Ovis aries: one gene and its partner. The protein of the gene in region 1 purifies or fractionates together with the protein of each later gene. This does not show direct contact. Links are inferred from orthologs where the notes say so. Each region holds a gene or a part of one and is shown in the gene's direction. Other genes may lie near its edges.

Region 1 (3,853 bases):
TGACCCTCCCTCCCACCTCCCACCCCTTCCCACACCTTCAAATTTTCACAGAACACTGGTTTGAGTTCCTCGAGTCATACAGCAAATTCCCACTGGCCATCTATTTTACGTACGGTAATGTGTATATTTCCTCAATTCGTCCCACCCTACTCTCTCAACTCATCTCACGTGCTCCCTCCCCTACATGTCCACAATCTGTTCTCTGTCTTCATCTCCATTACTGCCCTGCAAATAGACTCATTAGTACCATCTTTTAGATTCCATATATGTGTGTCAATATATAATATTTGTTTCTCTCTGACTTACTCCAATCTATATAATAAGCTCTAGGTTCATCTACCACATTAGAACTGACTCAAATGCACTCCTTTTTATGGCTGAATAATATTCCATTGTATATATGTAACATTGCTTCTTTATCCATCTGTTGATGGATATCTAGGTTACTTCCAGGTCCTAGCTATTGAAAATAGTGCTGCAATGAACATTGGGGTACATGCTGTCTTTTTCTCTTGTGGACACATGGCTTCCTTTAATTTCCTTTTGAAAAAAAAAAAAATAGGCTTGTATGGTTGAGTGCCTGAATTACTGTACCATTTGAAACAGTGCCTGCAAACAAACTGCTTTTGTCTCAGTTACTCATTCAGGAGGACACTTATATTTCAGGGTTGTTCTCGGCTATCTTTCTGGCCCCAGTGAAGACATTCAGGATCCAGTGAGTGACAAATTCTTCAAGGAGGTGTGGGTTTCAACAGCAGCTCGAAATGCTACAATTTATGATAAGGTGAGATTTTCATATCCTCCTCCTTTTTAAATTGAATCACATCACAAAAGTATATCATTATTTCTGCATGTTATTGGTACAGAGTATTCTTAACGAGTGTAAAAACACAACATACCTCCAAATTATAATCAAATAATTCTTTGTAGACATTAAGAAAACAGAGTCAAAAAGAGCCATGGATTATGGTTTAGAAGAGACTTCAGTGGCATTCTGGTCTCAGATTCCAGAATCCCATCATGAGCATCCTTAGCAGGTGGTTACCCAGACTTTGCACATGTCTAGCAATAAAAAGAAAAAGCAGATGGGATCAAAAAATGAGTCAGACCTGGGTTCAGCCCAGCTCACACAGTTGCTGGTGGCATAAGTATGTGTATAGTAATTTCATGTTCTGAGCCTTCCTTTCTTTCCTCTCTTATAAACTGGAGGGAATATTCATGAGGTGGTCATGAGGATAAAAAATAATCTGTTAAATGTATTTAGTACATAGCACATGGTAGATTATATCCATTCTAGTGACGAAGCTTATTAATAATGAGAAACTCCCTCATTTGGACAGTTGTAATTTTGGAAAGGTGTTTTAAAACCAGCTTCATCTGTTAGGGAAGCCAAATGCTTCTTCTAGTACATTCCATCCATTAGTGATGACAAAGGGTGTGCAAGAGTTAAGAGTCCCCCAACCCTGGAACAGGTTATGTCGTGAAGTAGCTAGCTTTCCATCACAGAAAATATTCAAGCTGAGATCCATTGACTCTATCATGTGACTGTCTATCATAAACAGGATAAGAGGGCATTCTTCTGACTTCCAGACTCCCTTCAGCACAGAAAATTCATCTGTGAACACAAAAATTCATGTTTCTAATGAAACAACAATTACCTACATAGACATATTTCATACTGAGGACTCAAGGCCATGATTAAATAGGTCATGTGTGTGGAGTATTTTTAAAATGCAGGGCACAGCCTAGTTTGGATCCTGGATTGGGAGGAGTAACAGCTCTAGAAGACATTTGGGGAATAATCAGATCAATCTCAATATGGGCCATATCTTAAATGACATGAAATTGATTTTCTGAGGTGTGAGAATGGTATTGTGGATACATAGGCACATGTCCTTATTCTTAAGAAATGCATGCTGAGGTATTCAGGTGTGAAGTGTTATGTGAAACTTATTTTTAATTAGCAAAATACATGTATAACTGATAACTGTAAGTATAGGTACTGACATGAACATTTTTCAAAATAAAAAGTTAGAGAAAATATACAATTTTTCTTTTAGACGTGAACCTCCAGTGAAATGCAGGGATGATTATTATCCAAAACAATTAACCTTAAAGCGGGCTATCACTCATGAATCTCCTCACCACTGGGTTGACCTTATCCTGTGGTCGGTCACGGGATAATGCAGATTCAACATGCATGTGTGCGCTGTCACTCAGTCACGTCTGACTCTTGTGACCCCATGGCCTGTAGCCCACCAGGAGTCTCTGTTCATAGGATTCTCCAGGCAAGAATACTGGAGTGGGTTGTCATGCCCTCCTCCAAGGGATCTTCTCTACCCAGGGGTTGAGCCCAGATCTCCACCATTGGCAGACCAGTTCTTTACCACTAAGCCACCTGGGAAGCACCCCTCCCCCATAGATCAGATATAGGATCTATCTTTTTTTTTTTTTTTTCCCCATACTGCATGGTATGTAGAACTTCTCCAGCTAGGAATTGAGCCCATGCCCCCTGCATGGAAACTCAGAGTCTCAACCCCTGAACCACCAAGAAAGTCCTCTATGATTTTTTTTTTTTTTTTGATGGAAGCAAACGTAGGATTCTCTGTAGCAAATAAAAGAAACAACCCTTCAATCAGGTCTGTGATATAACATAAAACTAATATATGTTTCATAAAACATAGGCTTTGTCTGTCAGAATGAGTATTTTCCAGAAAGGGGATATGCTTTCTTTTAAACTTATCACTCAGTTTCCTATTTGCATTTTAATCAGGTGTTCCGGTGCCTTCCCAATGATGAAGTACACAATTTAATTCAGCTGAGAGACTTTATAAGCAAGCCCGTATTAGCAAAGGAGGATCCCATTAGAGCTGAGGAAGAACTGAAAAAGATCCGTGGGTTCTTGGTGCAATTCCCCTTTTATTTCTTATCTGAAGAGAACCTACTGCCTTCTGTTGGAACCAAGGAAGCCATGGTGCCCATGGAGGTCTGGACTTAAGCGTTGTGCTTGTTCGCAGCTCCGAGACTTCCACTTGGAAGAGTACACGTCACATTCGGACTTTCTGGAGACCCAACAGACAGACCCAGACCCAGAGCACACATCCACCCCTTGGATTGCAACTTTTTGGGTTAACTTGGAAGGGCTGCCGTCATACTGATGTAAGGACAGTGAACATCGGCATGGCTTTATAATTCCTCATGCCTCTCCTTGTGAAAAAGGGACTGCATTCTTAGGTAGCATATACCCAACAGCGTCAACACATATTTCAATTCCGTGATGTCAACACGTGTTTCAATTCCGTGATGTATACCAAAGTGCATTTTCTTTGCTAACAAGAATTTATCTGTAACTGATCTATGTTGCCAAAAGTTGTCTGAACCTCCTTAATTTCCTCTGATCCTCACACATGCAGCTGTTGTTTGCTGGACCTTGTATCCATACAGGTTCTGTTTGACAGTGTTTATTGCTAGAAGATGTTGTGATGCTGCTCTGAGATTCTTGAAGGTTCCATGGGATGCTCTGCCCATCTGGTCCTAGAGTCGTGGTGTGTGCCCAACCAAGGATGTGGTCCTTCTTCCTTTCCAGTGACTGAAAGGGCTGGACAGACCTTAGTCTATATAGCAGCCCATGTTAGGTACTTTTGATAATATTGTTGGTGTGTATCTTGACACGACAGAGCAACAGGAAAGAATTAAATTTGGTTATTACAGCAGAGATTTCACTTTACCTCCAAAGGCACCGACAAGATGTGTCCTTATGATAGGGCCCACCGGATCAGATTTGAAAACATGTGTAGGATATTTGATTACACAGCAACCCATAAAACTCAAAGACAGAGCATATAGCCTTCAG
Region 2 (3,872 bases), on another chromosome or scaffold:
GGACCCCTGATTCAGTTGCTCCAAAAAGGTCGCCTGGCTCTCCTGCAGGGCTGAGGATGATGCTTGGCCAGGGCCAGACCCCACCAGAATTGCACCTGCTCTCGGTCCTTTACTTCTTTATTGGTAGTGACTTCAGAAATAAGCTGAGATAAATACGCGTTCAGTTCATTCTGTTTTCCATAATTTATCATCCTCTATATTTAGGAAAAGTGGTTGTCTGCCGAAAAGGAAATACCATAGTAAAGATCTTTTTTAAATGTTAATTTTATAAATAGGTAATATTATTCAAAACCAAAAAGAACTTTAAAATGTTGAAAGAGCACTGAGGCCTGCTAGAAGGGGCTCCGCTGGATGCCCCTAAGGCCATTGGCGCATCTAGGTCACAGTGGGGCGGCGGTCTGACCCACTGAGCAAACTGGGAATTCCCAAGCTCACACCGTGTCAGTGTATGGAGGAGAGAGTGCTGGTTCCTTGGGTAGAAGGCTAACTAACGCTGGAAGGAATGACTGTAGAAAACCACCGTTAGAACAGTCCTGATGGCAGTAATTCAGCCAGGAAATGTCAGCATGCTGAAACTAGAGGGTGGAAGCTGGATGAGAAGCGGAACGTGTACATAGTCCCCAGATGCTCCCTGATGGCTAAGGCAGAAAGGGGCTTACGATGGAGACCTGGCAGCTCCACGTGAGCCTGTCATCAGAGTTGACGTGGGGTGGTGGGGGTCTGGGGCACAACCCCTACGTAGAATGGAGGGGGGAGTGCCTGTGGCAGGCCCGTATCTGCGTCCTCCGTGGAACTGGCCTCTTACCCAAGCAGTATCCATCCAAAGTTCAAACACTGGGAAGCTCATAGTTACTTCTGGGAGGTTAGGTATGCAGGGCAAGACTCCTTCCCAACCTCAACAATAGCCTCCACCAGCACCCTCCCAGTGATGAGGTGTGAGCATCTCCCATCAGCTTAGAACAAGCTCTCTGTGGTTGATTTGGTTTTCTGTCAACACTCGCACAGAATCTGCCCAGTTGAAGGCTGCTCAGCCCTCCACAGCTTGACTTCACCTTAGGTGCTAAGTCCAGATTTCCTAAGCATTTGAGAAAGTGACTGTTTTTTTCCTAAAGCCCTGTTTGGAAATAAAATAGTTGAAGGATGAATATACTGAGTGTGGAGAGGCCATATGTGGGTCTTCCAGTACAAGAGATCCCCACCTCTGTGATCACTCACCCCTTCCTGCAGGTCTGGGTGTCGGGGCCTGGGCTCGGACCTGGGGTCCAGTCAGCTCAGTGGCTGCTCCCAGTCTGCTCTGCTGAGTGAGGCGAGCTGGCGGGGGGTGGGGGGCGGTGCAGACACAGCGCTCGTGCGCGTCTGCACACTCGTGCGCTTCTGCACACTCGTGGCTGCACCGCGCAGGCCACCTCTCCGACCAGCGCTGACCACAGGTCTTGGCAAGGTGCTCCCTAACGTGGCCATGCTGTGGGCTCACCCTTGGGCTGAATACTCTTGGACTGAGCAGCAGGTGTGCTGCTCTTGAGCCCTGGGTGTTCTCACTCAGCCAGTCCTGCCTGCAGGGTGTGCTGAGCTCTCAGCATGTTGGGAAGGGCTGGCTCCTGGTCTTGGCCAGGGCCCTCCTAGGTTCTCAGGTGTTAGTTGTCTTACCATTGAACTCTGCTTCATCGAGACTTGGGGCAGTTGGGAGACATGGTAGGGCCTTGAAGTGGTTGTTTCTGGCCCCTTGAAGAACTGTGCATTAGGTTATGGAGAGCCTAGCGTCCATTTGAAAGCCACACTACTGCACCCCAGAGTGGCGGGTTGGAGGACTTAGAGGTAAGGTGCCCTCAGGCCTTGGCTATAAGTTCCTCAGATGATGGAGCAGCCGCTTCACATTCCAGTCAGCCTTGTTCTAAGAGTCCCATATGCTGCCTTGTTAGGCTGATTTAGAGGCTCAAGAGGTAGGTGGGCAGGACCGTTTTCTTTTGGATAGGAACCAGAATTTCATCAGCTTGTGAGAGGAGCAGCTGCCTCAGCCTGGCTCTGGGTGAGCGGTCTCTGAGCTGCTCCTGCTTGCCTGGCCCTGGGCAGCACAGAAAAAGACCCCAGGACTCCTTGTTCCTGCAGGTTTCTCTGGCCAGTGTTGCCCCCACCGGTGTGCAGCATGGGGAATATCTTTGCAAACCTCTTCAAGGGCCTTTTTGGCAAAAAAGAAATGCGCATTCTCATGGTGGGCCTAGATGCTGCGGGAAAGACCACCATCCTGTACAAACTGAAGCTGGGTGAAATTGTGACCACCATTCCCACTATTGGTGAGGACGCTGGGCCTTGGGAGGCTGGGAGGTGGTGGTGGCCCTGGGGATAGGCTCACCCGGCTCTCTTCCAGGCTTCAACGTGGAGACCGTGGAGTACAAGAACATTAGCTTCACTGTGTGGGACGTGGGCGGCCAGGACAAGATCCGGCCTCTGTGGCGCCACTACTTTCAAAACACACAAGGTATGAGTGAGCTGCCCCGTTACACGCCTCAGGAGTGGGGCTCGGGGTGTCCCGGGTGCCTGCAGTCACGCTTACTGTCCCCTCTGCAGGCCTCATCTTTGTGGTTGACAGCAATGACAGAGAGCGTGTGAATGAGGCCCGCGAGGAGCTCATGAGGATGTTGGCAGAAGACGAGCTCAGGGACGCCGTTCTGCTCGTGTTTGCTAACAAACAGGTACGTGTGACTGAACACCCTGTGTGCCAGTGGGGGTGCACGTCAGGCAGCCAGCCTCTCAGGGCTGGAGGTCTGACTGGGGGGCCACAGGTCAGGTAGAAAGGGTTCCATGCACTCCCCCTGACCCACGCCTGCTGTGCTGCCACCCCCAGGACCTCCCTAATGCCATGAACGCGGCCGAGATCACGGACAAGCTGGGCCTACACTCTCTGCGCCACAGGAACTGGTACATACAGGCTACCTGCGCCACCAGCGGGGACGGGCTTTACGAGGGACTGGACTGGCTGTCCAATCAGCTCCGGAACCAGAAATGAGCTGTCATCCTCTCTCCTCCCCTCTCACTCCCTCCTTCTACCCTCGCTTTACTCTCATGTGGCAAACGTGCCCCTGTGGTGTGAGTGCCAGAAGCTGTCTCCATGGTCGGTCACAGTGTGCTTCACCATGCTGTAAATGTGCAGACGCAGCCTGCAACTGGGTTTTTATTTAATGTAAATAGTTTTTGTTTCCAATGAGGCAGTTTCTGGTACTCCTATGCAATATTACTCAGCTTTTTTTATTGTAAAAAGAAAATCAACCCACTGTTTAGTACTCAGAAGGGATTTTAGGCACACGGGTCATCCAGGAGTTGTGTGTCAGACGAGCCCAATACTCCTCCTCTGGGCTTTAGGTCTGTGTTGAGATCCATTTTGGTGGTTGGTTTTTAACCCAAACTCAGTGCATTTTTTAAAATAGTTACAAATACAAAATAAGGAGAACACTTGAACACACAGAAGGGAGAAATGTGCCTAATGTAGGTTCTGCGGTGACGGCCTGAGTCCAGTCCACCGGTGGTCTGTTTCCCGCTGGGAACATGAAGCGGGGCAGAACCAGCCGTGATACCCATTCTGCATGGTCACAGTAGGGTCCCTGTGATTCGCTCTGTCTCGGGTCCTCCCACCCCCCGTAGCGTTTGTGCTTGTATTTGTGCATACGTGGCCGCCCAGGAGATGGGGTGGAGGCTGCAGCCGCCGTTCTCAGACCCCTTGGAAGAACCCCGGCCTTTTCTCGGGTCAGCATGGGCACTTTGGTTGGAACGCCCTGGCTGGAGCGGGAGGCCTGCAGCCCCCCTGCTTGCCTGCTCCGGGCTCTCTGGGGTCTCACCAGCAGGAGTGCGGGTGGTCATCCTTGAGCCCCAGCCCCTCA

The links. Proteins that work in one complex are often made in the same cells at the same time.
Region 2: the proteins of PLD1 (region 1) and ARF1 purify together in Homo sapiens (affinity purification with western blotting; 3 studies listed by BioGRID, with this or other methods). This does not show direct contact. The link is inferred for Ovis aries from reciprocal best matches to the Homo sapiens genes PLD1 and ARF1.

Annotation. Positions count from the first base shown.
Region 1 is NC_056054.1:216,595,380-216,599,232, forward strand, and holds part of PLD1 (phospholipase D1), read left to right. Parts: intron 1-666; coding exon 667-784; intron 785-2,773; coding exon 2,774-2,998; 3' UTR 2,999-3,853. UniProt on the Homo sapiens protein: Function as phospholipase selective for phosphatidylcholine. Implicated as a critical step in numerous cellular pathways, including signal transduction, membrane trafficking, and the regulation of mitosis.
Region 2 is NC_056058.1:2,770,302-2,774,173, reverse strand, and holds ARF1 (ADP-ribosylation factor 1), read left to right. Parts: upstream 1-2,143; coding exon 2,144-2,291; intron 2,292-2,365; coding exon 2,366-2,476; intron 2,477-2,565; coding exon 2,566-2,690; intron 2,691-2,842; coding exon 2,843-3,004; downstream 3,005-3,872. UniProt on the Homo sapiens protein: Small GTPase involved in protein trafficking between different compartments. Modulates vesicle budding and uncoating within the Golgi complex. In its GTP-bound form, triggers the recruitment of coatomer proteins to the Golgi membrane.